2 linked regions of the Tamandua tetradactyla genome follow. The main gene of each other region encodes a partner of the protein of the gene in region 2 in a complex. Links are inferred from orthologs where the notes say so. Each region holds a gene or a part of one and is shown on either strand. Other genes may lie near its edges. The genes, in order: ZBP1 and RIPK3.

Region 1 (7,727 bases), on a different chromosome or scaffold from region 2:
AGGAACAATAGCTCCCTCCCACCCAGGGTTGTTCCGAAGGTTAAAACGAATGAGTCTGAATCTCTGAGCACAGCGACAGCCCATTTAAGTATTTACCAAATGTTAGTGCTGTTTTTCCATCAGCTGTAAAACTGGAAAGTTTGCATCAAGTGTGATGCAAACTTTGTTTTATTATGATTCATTCTATCATTGTTATCATTATCACTTTCTGTCATTATTTGTAATGTTTTGTTGCACACCTCCTGTGCACTGGCACTGGGTTTGAGCCCTTTGCTTTTAATTCTCTCCCAAAAAGTAGCCCTATAGTCACCTCCACTGAGCAGAAAAAGAAATCAAGCACAGTGACTGGGTATCACGCCCCCTAGTGGCAGAGCTTGGATTTGAACCCAGGTCAATGGGGCCCAAATGGGACTTGTCCGGGCTGAGGCTGGCTCCCCCTCCCCCTCCCCCCGGGATGACAGGTTACCGCCGCTGGGCTCTGCCAGCGCTGCGGGAACTGCCACTTTAGACCCAGTCCTGCCCAAGTGCCAGGTGGCAGGGGCCGCCAGGGCGACTTTGGACTCCTTTTCCATTTGGTAGAGAAGGTGGTTGAGCTCCTTCTTAGGCACTTGGCACTCCTTCACCAGCTGGGCAGTCTTCACGGGGGAGCCCGCGTCCCGCAGCACCTGCAGGATCTTCCGTTCCAGGTCCCCTAGGAGAGAAAGGGGCAGGGCGGTCTGGGAGAACGGGGGCCCGGGCAGAGGAAGGGCACAGAGGCCCGGGCAGCCTCTGCCCGCTGTGCGGGGCAGGCAGACTGCTCCCAAACAGCCTTGGCTGGTGGCCTGGGAAGGGAGGGGCTCCAGGCAGGGCCCTATGTGAGCGCCCCACGGCAGGTGGGAAGGCAGCTTTCAGCTGTTCTCAGGCAGGGGGAAGGGGCACGGGTGCTGGGGGGAGAGGCCGGCAGTCCCCGCCTGTCACGCCCCACGACGTGGCATTCTCTGATCCCTGTTGTCGTCCTCCCTGCGGAATCCGCCCCTCTGCGTGGTTTTGCCAACTCGGCAACCCGGTCGATCGTGACTCCCCCAAGCCAGGGCCCTGGCAGGCGTTCGGGAATGATCTTTCTCCCAGTGCCCATGTGACTGTGGTGTCCTGGAGAGACCCATTGCCAGGTTCCCCCTTGAATCCCTGCACTTCTCTCTGCTGTACCCACAGCCCAGGTCTCTTGCCTGAGTGACAGCAGCGGGCTCCTGGCCAGAGCCCCCATCTCCAGCGGGGTTCCCCTTGGCTCAGCAGCCAGAGTCTGATTCCAGCTCCTCCCACAGCCTGAAAGACCCACACACTCCAGCTCGGCCTACTGCCCCACCGCCCCCAGTTTTGCTCCACGCACCAACCTGACAGTGCTCCTTTCAGTCCCTCTCACCCCCGGGCCTTGGCACGTGCTGTTCCCTTTGTCAAGATCACTCTTTACCCCGCCTCCAGAGCCTACTCGACATCCCAGGTCTTGCTTAGATGCCATCTCCTTTGGGAAACCATCCTAGACTGCTGTTTATATGTGGGTCCCTACAGAGTGTCCCCACAGACCCCCCCACTGCAGTGGCCTGACTCACCTTGGTACCATCACGGACTAGCCTAGAGCCAAGGACGGTTGAATGAATGAGTTGTGAATGAGTGAATAAGTGAGTAAGTGAATAAATTTATCCTCCACCTGTACAGACATCTGCCTGATGCCCCAGGGGCAGGTCATGAGCAGCTCCCCTGGGCCAGTCCGTATGTGCCTCAGTTTCCTGCTCTGAGTTTAGTGAGCCCTAAGCAGAACACTACGAGGCTCATGGAGGGACTCTCAGAGGCCCCTGCTCCTCCTGGGGCAGGTTCTTGAAAATCAAAATCAGCTGCTCTGCAAGGAGGAATCAGACTCAGGGAAATGAGTAGAAGGATAGTAAAAGGCAGAAACAGGTCAGGGGGCCGTGACAGGGGCAGGGACAGGGACAGCACAGCAAGAAAGCCGGTTCAGGGCCGCCCAGCATGTCACCAGGAAGTTTCTTAACCCCAAGAACCCTGAGGAAGTTCAAAGCAGGGTCCTTCAGAAAGACCCCACCCCTGGGTTCAGGTAAAGAGCAATTAGAAAACCTGGAAGCACCACCTCATCAACCCCCAAATCACAGCCTCAGTGGGCCAGAAATCCCAGCAAACTGGCTGCAGTCTTGACAAGAGTTTTGCTTCTTAAAGAGTCTGCCCAGCAAGTTGGCTCAACTTCCCTCTTCCCCAGCCCCAACCCTGACCCCAAACAAGAGGTGGGGTCAGAGACGTGGGTGAAGGAGAAGGCACCCCGTTCCAGCCTGCTGTGTTGCAAAATGGACCAGATGTAAATGATGAGATAGATGGAAAATCAACCGGAGAAGAAGGAAGATGGGAGAGGCCAGCGCATTCCCAACCCCTGGAAGGATGAGCTCAGGGACCAGCCGGGGCTCCGGGCTGCACCCCACCGAGCCCCCTCCCAACTCTCTCTTTTCTTCCTTTTTATCCTCTGGTGATGGGTTTCCTGGGTTTGAGCCCTGGTTCTGCTGCCTACTGGCTGTGTGGACGCTTTGTGCCTTGGTTTACCCTGTCTGTGAAATGGGGCTAATAACAGCATCTGCTTCAAAGTTTGTGGCAAGGATGGAATGAGGTCACCCCAAGCAGCACCCTCAGCCCACAGGCCACGGGCGCTTAGCAGACAGCCCCAGACAACTGCCCAGTACAGTGGATTTGTTACTCTTCTCAGAGTGAAACTAACTGAGGGGATGCTGGAAACGGGAGAAAACATACACGTGGGTAGTTCTTTGTTTCTCAACATGAGTATGAAGAGGGGGTGGTTCAAATCCTGCCTCTAACGCTAGCCGGCTGGGCTGCCCCGAGTCACCCTGCAGCTCAGGAGCCTGGCCCCGTCAGCTTGTCTGCTCGGCAGGAATCCTTGCACTCCCCGCGCCCAGCCTGAGGGCTGTTTGGGGGAGCCCTGCCGTAGGTGCGCCCCCAAGGCCCTGTCCTGCTGCTCCGGCCTTTGGTTCCTGTGCCACAGTTACCTTCGTGATCTGGGCCAGAAAGAGAAGTGCATGTCCCCTCCCGGGAGCCCCGCTCTCCTGGGAAGGAAGAACTTACTGTACCTTTGGTGGCTGTGTCCGCAGCGGCCTGGGCCATGCTGACAGCAGCGGGATAGAGACTGCGGGGAGCTGGCACTGGCCTTGGGAGTGGGTGCCGGGTCACGGGTGGGAGGTCAGCTTCAGCTGCTGCTATCAGCTCCTCACACTGCAAATGGAGGCCTGCCCCCTCTGTTTCCGGCCAACCCAATGAAAAAGAAAATGAAACTTCTGTGGTTGACTTTCTAAGTAAATAAAACTGCAGGATCAACCAGCAGGGCAGATGTTCACTGGGTGGGGCTGGATCGGAGTGAGCAGCCCTGGGCCCTTGCCTGAGCCGCCTGCACACCTGGCTGCTCGCCCCGACCTCCCTAACCCCGGCACCCAGGCTGAGACACCTGGGTGGGTGCTCACATGCGTACCGAGGTGACAGCCCTCTCGAATGAGCGCCTACAATGTGCTTTCCGATCTCCTGTGCTCCTCTATCTCACCCAGACTGGCTCTGTCCTCTTGTCTCAGAGAGGAGACGAGGCACAGGCCAGAGAGGTCATAAAGACAGTACCTGGCAGAGACAGCCTGGCTGCCTCGTGGTTTGTCTTCCAGCTGTGTTTCCTGAAGTCCTGTGTGAACCACATTCAGCCCACAGAACCACATCAGGCTCCCAGCCACGCCACAGAACCTACCGAGTAATTTGGGGATCACAGAATAGAAAACCACCCCCAGGGCCCTTATTGCTCGGTGTTGGGGAATGCGAGCCTGGAGCCCGGCTGCTTGGGTTCAAGAGCAGTCCCACAGTTTGCTGGCTGTGTGATCTTGGGAAAGTTATCTAACCTCTCTGGGCCTTGGTTTCCTCACCTGTCGAGTGGGATTAATAAAAGTACCTAATTCATTGGGTCACAGTGAAAACAAATCCGTCCATCCTAAGGTGCCAAAATACATTTCTCTCCGAAGAGAAACTATTGCGTGTACAAATTCTCAAAGGAGCCAATGACCCCAAAACAGTTCAGAGCCACTGTTCTCTTCTAGTTTCTAGAAGGGGAAACTGAGATCCAGAAAGGTGAAGGGTCTTGTGGGCAGCCGAGAGGGTTAAGAACTCAGCCGTCACCTCACACTTACAAGAATGGCTGCTATTAAACAAATTTGTAGGATACTACAAATGTTGAAGAGGAGGTGGAGAAATTGGGACTCTTATGCACTGCTGGTGGGAATGTATAATGGTCCAGCCACTATGGAAGATAGTTTGGCAGTTCTTTGAAAACTAAATATCATGTTGCCCTATGACCCAGTAATACCACTACTCTGTATATACTCAGAAGAGCTGAAAGCAGTGACACAAACAGACATTTGCACACCAGTGGTCATAGCAGCATTACTCACATTTGCCAAAAAATGGAAACAATCCAAGTGTCCATCAACAGACAAGTGGATAAACAAAATGTGGCACATACATACAATGGAGTATTATGCAGCAATAAGATGAAATGAGATCCCAAAGCACATGACAACATGGATGAAACTTGAGGACATAATGCTGAGTGAAATAAGCCAGACACTAAAGAATACATACTGTATGATTTTGCTATTATGACCTCGGTAAAGGCAAACTCAGAGGCTTATAATATAAGATATAGGGGACCTAGAGATACATAGAAGTTAGAGATGGGTGAGCAGTTAGTGAGGTTGAATTTAAATGTAAGGGAATGGCAGTTCATTAGTGGGTTTATAAGTAATACTGCCGTACTGAGGGTGAACATGATTGAAAGGGGTCGTATGGAGCCACGTATCCCACTGATTAACACTACAAATATAAATAAGTTCTTGCATGAACTACTTCAAAGGTATGAATCTTGTACAAAGGGTCAATAATAGAGGGATATAGGGGGACATTGCCATTGCATACTATGGTCTATACTTAACAGGAAGACATCAACAGTCCCACAGCAATGCCAGGGGTAAATAATTGGGGGGTGGGGAGGACAAGAGTTAAGGGAAGGTTTGGATTTTCCATTCGGTGAGTGTTGTAGTTTGCTAGCTGCCAGAAAGCGATATACCAGAAACAGAATGGCTTTAAAAAGGGGAATCTAATAAGTTATACGTTTACAGGTCTAAGGCCAAGAAAATGCCCCAATTAAAGCAAGGCTATAAAAATGTCCAAATTAAGACCCCAAGAAGAGGTTACTGTCACTCAAGAAAGGCTGATGGGTTCAGCGTTTTGCACTCAACTGGGAAGGCATGTTGGGAATATGGCAACATCTGCTAGCTTCCTCTCCCCGATTCTTGTTTCATGAAGCTCCCCCAGGGGCATTCTTCAGCTCCAAAGGTTGCTGGCCTATGGACTCTGTACTTCTCTCAACCTTGTGGCTCTGCTAGGCTCTGCTGTGGCTTTCTCGCGGCTCTAAACTGTTTCCTCTTTTAAAGTATTAATGGGCGGAGTCACCACTCCATGGAGCTATCTTATCAAAAGTTACCACCCACAATTGGGTGGGTCACATCTCCATGGGAACAATCAAAATGCTCCCAACCAGCAATACTGAATGAGAATTAAAAGACATGGCTTTTCTGGGGTCCACCACAGATTCAAACTGGCACAGTGAGGATGTGTCTATTGGTTATTTTTCTCTTTGGAGCAATGAAAATTGTCTAAAATTGAGAGTGTTGATGATCCTGCAGTGAAGTGAGGATAATGTGAAGCAGGGGTTGTTGACTTTGGACATTACCCATGATCCTCAATGGATGGAGGTGGCTGAAGGGTACACTGAGAACGGAGAGCTGTGGTATGTACATGTGATGGGATATCGTATGGCTACGGAAAGGAATGCAGTCATGCAGTGAGGTGAATGAACCTTGGGGTCATAATGTTATGCAAAATAAGCCAGAAACAACAACAACAAAATATTGTACGGTCTCTTTTAGAAAATACTTATAAGAAAATTAGGGCTTAAATTGTAAACTCTTACAGCAGTCACATTTAGTCTAGAGCTGTAAATGTTATTTCTAGGTTTTGAGATGCTGTGGTATTTATGTATAACCTGGTATCTCCCTGGAATTTGGGCAACCTGTGTGACACCTGAGACTGAGTTGGAATTCTGCAGCTCTGCAAGTCAGCAGTGCTACCTACAGCAACTGTTCAAGAAGCTAAGAAATAAAGAGATCAGGCTTCAATTAGAGATAAGAATGAAGCCAAGCTGGTCAGGACTAAGGTAAATCAGAATACAGGGGTAAGGGTGACATTGCATTTTAGAACGTCACCTACTATATGAGACCAAAGGAAGGGAGGTTTATTTTGTCCAAAACTTACATTTTCTGTAGCACATAATCTAACTCAACCTGTTTGGATCACTCATTTAAACAACCCAAACATATGGAGCCCAGAAAGGAAATGAGAGCTTATAAGACTGTATAGCTTGACATAATACCAGAATACAATCCAGAATATGTTGGCAGATAATTAAAAAGTATTGGCAAGGGCGGGCCGTGGTGGCTCAGCAGACAGTTCTCATCTGCCATGCAGGATACCTGGGTTTTTTCTTTGCCATGCAAAGAAAAAAAGAAAGGCAGGACATATATATTGAAAAAGTATTGGCAAGTGGGGTGCACAGGTGGTTCAGTGGTAGAATGCTCACCTTCCATGCAGGAGACCCAGGTTTGATTCCTGAACCATGCCCCCCCCCAAAAAAAAGTACTGGCAAAGCCCCTTGAAAAACTGGAGAAAACATATGAAACTATTAAGCTTTACCACTGGGGAAACCCCTGATATTGTGTCAAACATTAGGGACTCCCTAGTCAATAAGCCAAGCCCTTGATCTTGAGGTTTGCTCTTATGAAGCTTATTTCTGTATCAGAGACGCTAAGCCGACCTATACTTATGCCTAATAGTCACACCCAGAGAACCTCTTTTGCTGCTCAGATCTGGTCTTTCTCTCTCTCTAAACCCAACTCTACAAGGAAAATCATTACCCTCCCTGCCAGGCAGGACATGACATCCAGGGGTGAAAGTCTCCCTGGCAACGTGGGACCTGACTCCCACAGATGAGTCTGACCCTGGCAGCATGGGATCGACAACGCCTTCCTGACCAAAAGGGGGAAATGAAATGGAACAAAATACAATATCAGTGGCTAAAAGAGTTCAGGTGGAGTCAAGAGCCTATTCTGGAGGCTACTCCAGCTTCAGCTAGATATTGCTCATTACCACGGTTTGCCAAACTCCAGCCAAGATCATTCCTATTAACCCTAAAGGACACTTATGATTTTATCTGAGAGTCTACAAAGTTTCAGGCACTAAGATTACTTCCCAGTAACCTACAACCTCCAGATGGGCACCTAGGCCAGATAAGTCCTGAAACCCAGAGGGGCCAGCCTCTCCAAGAACATCAACTAGTTCCATCCCTCTATCCCATATTATCAACAAGAAGTTAGAATGGCCATAGTCCAAATATCCCTAAAGATTGGGAGAAGGATCAAAGGAGAGGGAGGAATTAAAACAGAGAAGATAGGGTTTAACAAATGAGTATGACTGCTGAAACATTATGTTGATATTTCTTTGAGCCTCCTGTGTCTTGGAGCAGCTAGAAGGAAAAACCTGACGCTGTGGATCTGTAACCCATACCAAACTCTGGAATCTGTGTTGTAATTACT
Region 2 (7,502 bases):
TGGGTCAAGTTAGAAGCCCCAGCAGCAAATCTAAGCTTTACTGTGTGACCTCAGCAAGACCCTCTTTCAGTGGATGTCAACTTCCTCATTTATTAAAGGAGGAGGTCACGTTAGATGACTTCTAAACACCTTTCTCACCAAGTTACTTGGTATCTATAAGTCTTGAGGAATAAGCTGGTGGAAAAATTGAGCAAGGGAAAGAAGAGGGTGGGAGATTGGTACCTGGAATTGAATTTGTCTGATGGTTCAAGGGAGACCAATTATTGCCTTGTTTCTCAGCCCCCTGCAGACAATACAGAGCTTTTCAGGCCTGTTTCCCCCACTATACATCCCCCTCAGCCCCAAATTTTGTCCGGCGAAAGGACAAGATTCACAGGAAGTCTCAGTCCATTCCCTAGACCCACCGATGTCTTACCTGGTTTTCTTGGGGCCAAGGACCTGAGGCCCAGTTCGAAGCGAGGCTGGGCATCTGGTTTATGAAAGATGAACTCTCTGGAGTTTGGGGAGGTCGGGCATTTGAATCTGAGGATGTCCCTGCTGACCTGGCTTCTTGAACCTGCTCTTCCTTTGGCTTGATTCCCTCAGTAAATTTGACATATTCTTTAGGATCAGAGCTGGGGTCCTCCTCCAGGTGCAGATTGTTCAGGAATTCAGAGATCATAGGATCAACTCCAGCACCATCCATCTCCATCCCTCCTGGGCCCAGTTTTGGGGCAGAACCCCTTCTGTTGCTGCCCCTGTGCTCAGACAGAAATGTCCTCACCTGTAGGGACAGGAAGAGCTTGTCATGCACGGAAATGGGAGAACCAGAGTGTAAAGCAGAGGAAGTAGTCTTGGGTCATATTCTGCTACCTGGGAATTTGCAGGTAAGGTGGGGAGAGTGGATATACAGAACTGTCATTAAAGGGAAGTCACTGGTGGCCAAGGAGACCATAATGTGCTTTCCCTGACCAGCCCCTGGGTGGGGTTGGGGGCTCACCATGGAGACAGAGGCATCCATCTCATCTTGCACCTGAAGGATGACTGCAGCCATTTTTGGTTGGCAGTCTGGAGAAATGGCAAAATGGCTAGGTGAGCTAAACATCATTCCCAGGGAAAAGCCTGCAGTGAGAGCCAGGCCTGCCCCTCGTGCTAGCTGAATGGTTAGCTCACCCTGGAAGGAGGGCCTGTCACTGGGCTTGTGGCTCCAGCACTGCTGCATTAATTCTTTCAGGTCTTCCAAGCCAGGAGTCTTGGGCCCAGGTTGGGGCAGCTCTCTTAATGAGGGCCGGCTCTGCTCCTCACACACTAATATCTTCATCAGTGTTGTCTTGGGCACTGGGGCAAAGGGAAAGGGGGAGGGAAGAGATATGAAGGGTAACCTGCTTCATCATTAAAATCACCAGGGAATATGGTCCAAGGGTTTTGTGGGGAGGGGAGGCATGAATAAGGCAATGTGCAGAGATGAGCAGGAAGGGAAGGGCTTGGGGGTTTGAGGGAGGAGGGCATATGGAGTTAAGGATCCTGGAGTCCACCTAGAGTCTTACTCTCAGCTTCTTTTCCAGCTAGCACTTCCCACATGAGGATCCCGAAGCTGCAAAAGACACAAACCTGAGGCTTGGCCCAGCCACTGGCAACACCCTGCTCCCAGAAAGATGTTGAGATTTGGGATATGTTTGGGGTGTGTACCTTACCTGAAGACATCACAGGCTGTGGAGGGATTCTGGTTTACATCAGCCAACAGTTCTGGGGCCAGGTAGGCTAGGGTGCCTATTGGATTGCTGAAACTTTTTCCTGACTTTGAACTCTTCTGAAATGTGGATAGGCCAAAATCTGCCAGCTGCAAAGGAAGGGAAAAAGAAGGAGGTAGGGGAAGGCATCAGGCAGCCTCCAATGCACCTTCCTGCTCACTCTACTCCTAACAGTAGATGCAGCTCCTGCCTTGTAAAGGGTGTGTGTAAGGTCAGAGGAAGGGGAGGGTCAATGGGGCCATTGGGTTGGAAGACTATGTCTCCTACTGGATGGGGCCAGATCAAGGCCTGAGTCTTTTGGGCTAGGTCAGTCATGGCTCTTTGTGGGGACTGACTGAAGGGGCGGGGATGCCTGAGGAAATAACTGGGGTGGGTCAGGATCTGTTTCCTGGTAGGACAGAGGTGGAAGTTCCTGGGTGGGCCTCGACCCCTGAACAGGACTGTGTCTGCAGGGCTCCAGTGAACTAGGGCAGCACAGGGTCTGTGTGACCGGCCCAAGCTGAAGCAGCTGTGGGGCAGGATGGGTGTGGGCTGACCTGAGCGTGCAGCTCAGAGTCCAGCAGGACGTTGGACGGCTTGAGGTCTCGATGCAGGAGTACGGGGTTCAGGCTGTGCAGGTAACACATCCCCAGCACCACCTCCTGCAGGAGGCGGCAGAGGAGCGGCCAAGGCCGAGGGCACCCGGGTTGCAGCAGCTCTGTGAGGGAGCCGTTCTCCATGAACCGAGTCACCAGAGCCGGCCTGCACCCATACGCAGACTTCAGTTTCTCAGTGACCCCCAGCAGGAGCAGCACAAACTGGTTACGCAGACTGCCCATGGCCTTCACCTCCTTGGATAACGTCTCCCTACAGGCCAGGAGAAGGGTGCTGAGTGGGCCCAGCATCCTGGAGAGATTTTTCTGCTCTTCTCCCCTTCCCCCCAATCCCTTTCCTCCCCGCCCCCGCCTTCCCTCTCCCAGGCTGCAGGGCACAGCATCTCGGGCCTCCTAGGTCAGGACCCGGTGCTGTCCGACGCCGACGTCACTCACGAGTTCACCAGCTTGAGGGCCACATCGTAGCCCCACTTCTTATGTCGGGCCCTGAACACCACGCCGAACCCGCCCTGGCCGACCAGCGTCGGGTTTTCCAATTCCTCGAAGGACACCTTGGGGGCAGGGGCACCTGTGGACCTTAATGAGGTTGCCTCGTCCACCAGGCGGCCACGGTCCCACATCGGCGCGGCGCCCTCCCCTCCTCCGTGCAGTAGCCCTTCCCCCCGCCTCTCCGTCTGTCCCGGCCTGGATTCGGGGCGCCACGGTGCTCCCGAAGGTGTCCGCCCGGCGCCCTACTTGCTGGACAGTCAGTGTGCCCGGTCGACACCCCCACGCCCCTCTCACCATATTCCGCTAGACATCAGGCTGGGCTTCTGGAAGTCGTGACCTGCAGGGATGGAGGTCTTCGGGAGCCGGACGTGGGGGGAAGGAGGGGAGGTCGGGGGCTGGGAAAGGGTCAATTTCTGGGTCCAGCAGGGACTCTGCCTCCAGGGTTTCTTCCGCTACGCTACACGGAAGGAGTGAGCACACTTCCTTCCCCGACAGGCTCGCTGTCAGAGTCCCGCCCCGGGGGTGGAGCAAAACTAAAGCTACTGCAGTTTTTGTTTTTTCTAATTAGTGTTTCCTCGAACACCTGCTGCATGCCAGGTCCTTATTAGGGGTCACTGGGCGTTTAAGGTGCTGCAGAAGGTGTCGTCACCTTCCAAGAATCCCCAGTCAGCCCTCAGTCCTACCGGCTGGGTCTCTCCCTTCTCCCAGGAGATTCCCAGCTCCACCACTTGCCAGGCCTGCAGGGCAGTGCTTAGAAGGGTTTTATGGGCCTGCTGCTCAGCTCTCCCACAGTTGCCCTAAGATCATAGCTAAGACTTCTGTAATACTCACCCTGTGCCAAGCACACATATTAGCTTGTTTAATTCTCACATTAACCATAAGGGGCTAGGCACTGTGTTTATCCATTTCTTTTTTTATGGAAGAGGAAACTGAGCCACCTTAAGTTCCTCGCTCAAGCCAGTAGGAAACTGGCTCCTGCCTCTTAACTGTCAAGTTACTTTATTTTCACGTAGCTTCAGGGCTGTACCCCTCAGCTGGTGGTGAAAGTGTCTGGGGAAGGTATGAAAGGTCCACTAAGACAGTGAAGGGTCCCCATCTGTAGTCTGCCCAGTCCCTGATAGCTGCTCTTGCTGAGGCAAGCACCCAACATTGGTAGTGATCTGTCTGCTCTGTAAACTGTAAACTGGGACTCCTGGAGCTGGTGAGACCAAAACCCACTCACTCCCAGGGCATTGAGGTCAGTCTAGATGAATTAGCTCAGCCAGAGAGTTGCTGACATTGTGGTGTCCACTGCAGTGGAAACACCTTAGAGTCCTCCCTACCCTCATGCCAACTTCTCCATGCAAATCCCCTGACCAGTTCGTATACCTGACAAGCACATGTTCTGGGCTCCAGGCTCTGAGAATGTTGGAATTCAGGAAGCCTTAAGTATTTAGGTAGCCTGGCCATGGATAGAGATTGTAGGAAGACTCAACCCTGGAGGGCTCACCTTGATATGCACTTTACATCCTGTCCAGTGGTCTGTGGGCTCTGTTAGTTGGAGAAGAAGTGCCCAGCAGTTAACTGTGGCTTCCAGAGCAATTGGAAATTTCAAGATGTACACCATGGTTTCTGGTGGGATTTGCCCATGCTTTGGAACAATTTTATTTTAGGAATTCCTTGAGGTTACTTCTTAGACCATAGTTTCTTTACAAGACAGTATATGGTAAGCACCCAATAATTATTGGCTAAATACAATGACTGAGTGAATGAATGAACAAGCAAAATTTGGGGAGCTTCCTTAAGTCTCTGATCATTTCAGCTACAGCTCCATATGCATTGGGAAGAGGGTAGATTGGGCTCCTTTATGGTTTGGGGACTCTCACTTGCACAGTTGATGAAATTAGTCTGAAACAGACTTTATTATAGAGATATAATATTGAATCCAAAGACAAGAATAACAGCAGGTCCTCAAAAAAAAAGCCTCGAGTCAGAAGCTGGGAGCCGTGCAGAACCACAGTCACTCCCTTGGTGATTCTTTTTTCAGGAGAAGACCCTGGGATCAATAGTTCCACTTAAAAGGAGCAGGCAGAAGGGAGTTAGAATTGTGTTTAAAGACCTCTTAATGCTTGAGTCTCTTTAGATTGGGACAAGACTTTGAGGATAGGGAAAAGCTACTGTGGGACACTGGGGTGAGGTGGAATCAGGGTTCTGTTACTTTTTGACTCAAAATAAATGGAACCCCTTTCAGAGAAGGAGGGGTGAGTAGCGGAGCTTAGAATGAGTGCCTTCTGCTTCCAGTGGTGATGTGGTGGTGGTGGTGAACCAAGAGAGAGTTGATTCCTGATTTTGGAGCTCTGGCTTTTCCTGAGGCTTGGTTTTCTGACCCCAGTAGCCCCAGGCTTTGGGGGCAGTGTTAGATGTTTTTCATCCTCTTTGGTTCTCTGCTCCTGATAGTTTCTGATTACCTTTAGCCCATGCCTAGTGCCTGGTCTGATTCCCAATCCCTGTATATAAGATGTGTGTATTTGGGGTGGGGGTGGGCAGGAGGGTGTGATCTGTCTTTTTGCATATTCTAATACTAACTGATGCTCATCTCTTGTTAGATTAAGAGGATCTGGTTATACATAGCAGGAAAGGAGAATTGCAAACCAATATCCCTTATGAATATAGATGTAAAAATCCTCAACAGATTACTAGGAAACCGAACCCAATGGTACATTTAAAGGATTATACACCATGAGCAAGTGGGATTTATGCCAGGAATGCAAAGGTGGTTTAACATAAGAAAATCAATCAGTATAAAACACCACATAAATAGAATAGAGGAAAAGAACCCACATGATTATCTCATTTACTCAAGAAAGGATTTGACAAAACTCAGCCCCATTTCTTGATAAAACACTCAGAAAAGTAGGAATAGCAAACTTCCTCAACATGCTAAAGGACATAAATGCAAACCAATGACTAATGTTGTACTCAATGGTGAAAACTGAAAGCTGTTCCCCAAAGATTGGTATGCTGGTTTGAAAGGATTTATGTACCCTAGAAAAGCCATGTTTTAATCCGAACCCCATTTTGTAAAGGCGGCATTTCTTCTAATCCCTATTCAGTACTGTATGCTGGAAACTTTAATTAGATCATCTCCACCGAGATGTGATTCAATCAAAAGTGAGTATTAAATTTGATTAGGTGGAGACATGTCTCCACCCATTCCAAGTGGATCTTGATTACTTTACTGGAATTCTTTAAAAGAGGAAGCATTTTGTAGAAAGCTTCAGAATGACATAGCCATGAGAAGCAGAGAGTCCATCAGCCAGTGACCTTTGGAGGTGCCTCCTGGGGCGCTTCATGAAATGAGCAGCCAGAAGAGAATGCTAGCAGACTTTGCCATGTGCCCTTCCAGCCAAGAGAGAAACCCTTAACTTCATCGGCCTTCTTGAACCAAGGTATCTTTCCCTGGATGCCTCAGATTGGACATTTCTATAGAATTTCTTTAAGTGACCTTAGGACTATAAACTTGCAACTTATTAAATTCTCCTTTTTAAAAGCTATTCCATTTGTGGAATATTGCATTCCAGCAGCTAGCAAACTAGAACAGTTGGGAACAAGACAAGAATGCCTGCTTTCACAACTGCTATTTGACATTGTACTGGAAGTTCTAGCTAGAACAATTAGGCAGGAAAAAGAAATTAAAGACATCTAAATTAGAAAAGAAGAAGTAAAACTATCTCTACTTGAAGATTATCTTACACATAGGAAATCTCAAAGAATCCACAACAAAGCTACTAGAGCTAATAAATGAATTCAGCAAAGTGGTAGGGTACAAGGTCAATATGCAAACAATCAGTTGTTTTTATATATCAACAATGAACAATCTGAAAAGGAAATCAAGTAAAACAATTCCATTTATTTTAATATCCAAAAGAATAAAAATACCTGGGAATAAATTCAACAAAGGAGGTGAAAGGCTTGTACTCCCCAAATTACAAAACCTTGCTGAAAGAAATTAAAGAATACCTACATATATGGAAAGACATCCCATGTTCATAGATTGGAAGGCTTAATATTGTTAAGATGTCAGTACTACCCAAGGCAATTTACAGATTCAACACAATCTCAATTAAAATTCCAACACCCTTCTTTGCAGAAATGGAAAAATCAATCATCACATTTTGTATGAAATGACAAGGAGCCCCAAATAGCCAAGTCAATCTTGAAAAAGAAGAATAAAGTTGGAGGACTTATACTTCCTGAAAGTCCTGGGCTGGGCGGAGGTCAAAGATGTGAAGCAGAGACAGAGACATGACACTGGCAGTGGGAAAAGCAAGTTTTATTAGCAGGGGAACACAAAGAGAGGTGATTCAAGAAATCAACTCCTGCCTGCCTGGATTTGAGTAGACATTTTTAAAGGGGGTTGAGGGTAGGGTTAGGTGGGTTTTCTTTGGTGAGTTCTTGCAAGTGAGGGATTTATCACAAGAATACAGCTGCTGGAGAGGATCAGAGAGTTTTGAGATGTTGATTCTCTGTGGCAGTAGTTTTCATCCTTGCTTGATTCTCTGGTTCAGCTCTCACAATTCTCAATTTCCAACTTTACTACCAAGCTGCAGTAATCAAAACAGTGTGGCATTGGTTGGCATATGTTGACCAATGGAATCAAGTAAGTGAGAGTTCAGAAATAAACCCACAAATCTATGATCAATTGATTTTC

Evidence for each region.
Region 1: RIPK3 (region 2) and ZBP1 share a complex: the UniProt entries of both Homo sapiens proteins name them as parts of the AIM2 PANoptosome complex. The link is inferred for Tamandua tetradactyla from reciprocal best matches to the Homo sapiens genes RIPK3 and ZBP1.

What each region holds. Positions count from the first base shown.
Region 1 is NC_135327.1:27,816,170-27,823,896, reverse strand, and holds the start of ZBP1 (Z-DNA-binding protein 1), read right to left. Parts: upstream 3,310-7,727; 5' UTR 3,154-3,309; coding exon 3,120-3,153; intron 692-3,119; coding exon 467-691; intron 1-466.
Region 2 is NC_135340.1:30,329,373-30,336,874, reverse strand, and holds the start of RIPK3 (receptor-interacting serine/threonine-protein kinase 3), read right to left. Parts: upstream 3,312-7,502; 5' UTR 3,124-3,311; coding exon 3,107-3,123; intron 2,900-3,106; coding exon 2,759-2,899; intron 2,577-2,758; coding exon 2,267-2,576; intron 1,820-2,266; coding exon 1,674-1,819; intron 1,574-1,673; coding exon 1,527-1,573; intron 1,318-1,526; coding exon 1,153-1,317; intron 1,048-1,152; coding exon 980-1,047; intron 764-979; coding exon 416-763; intron 284-415; coding exon 223-283; intron 1-222. UniProt on the Homo sapiens protein: Serine/threonine-protein kinase that activates necroptosis and apoptosis, two parallel forms of cell death. Necroptosis, a programmed cell death process in response to death-inducing TNF-alpha family members, is triggered by RIPK3 following activation by ZBP1.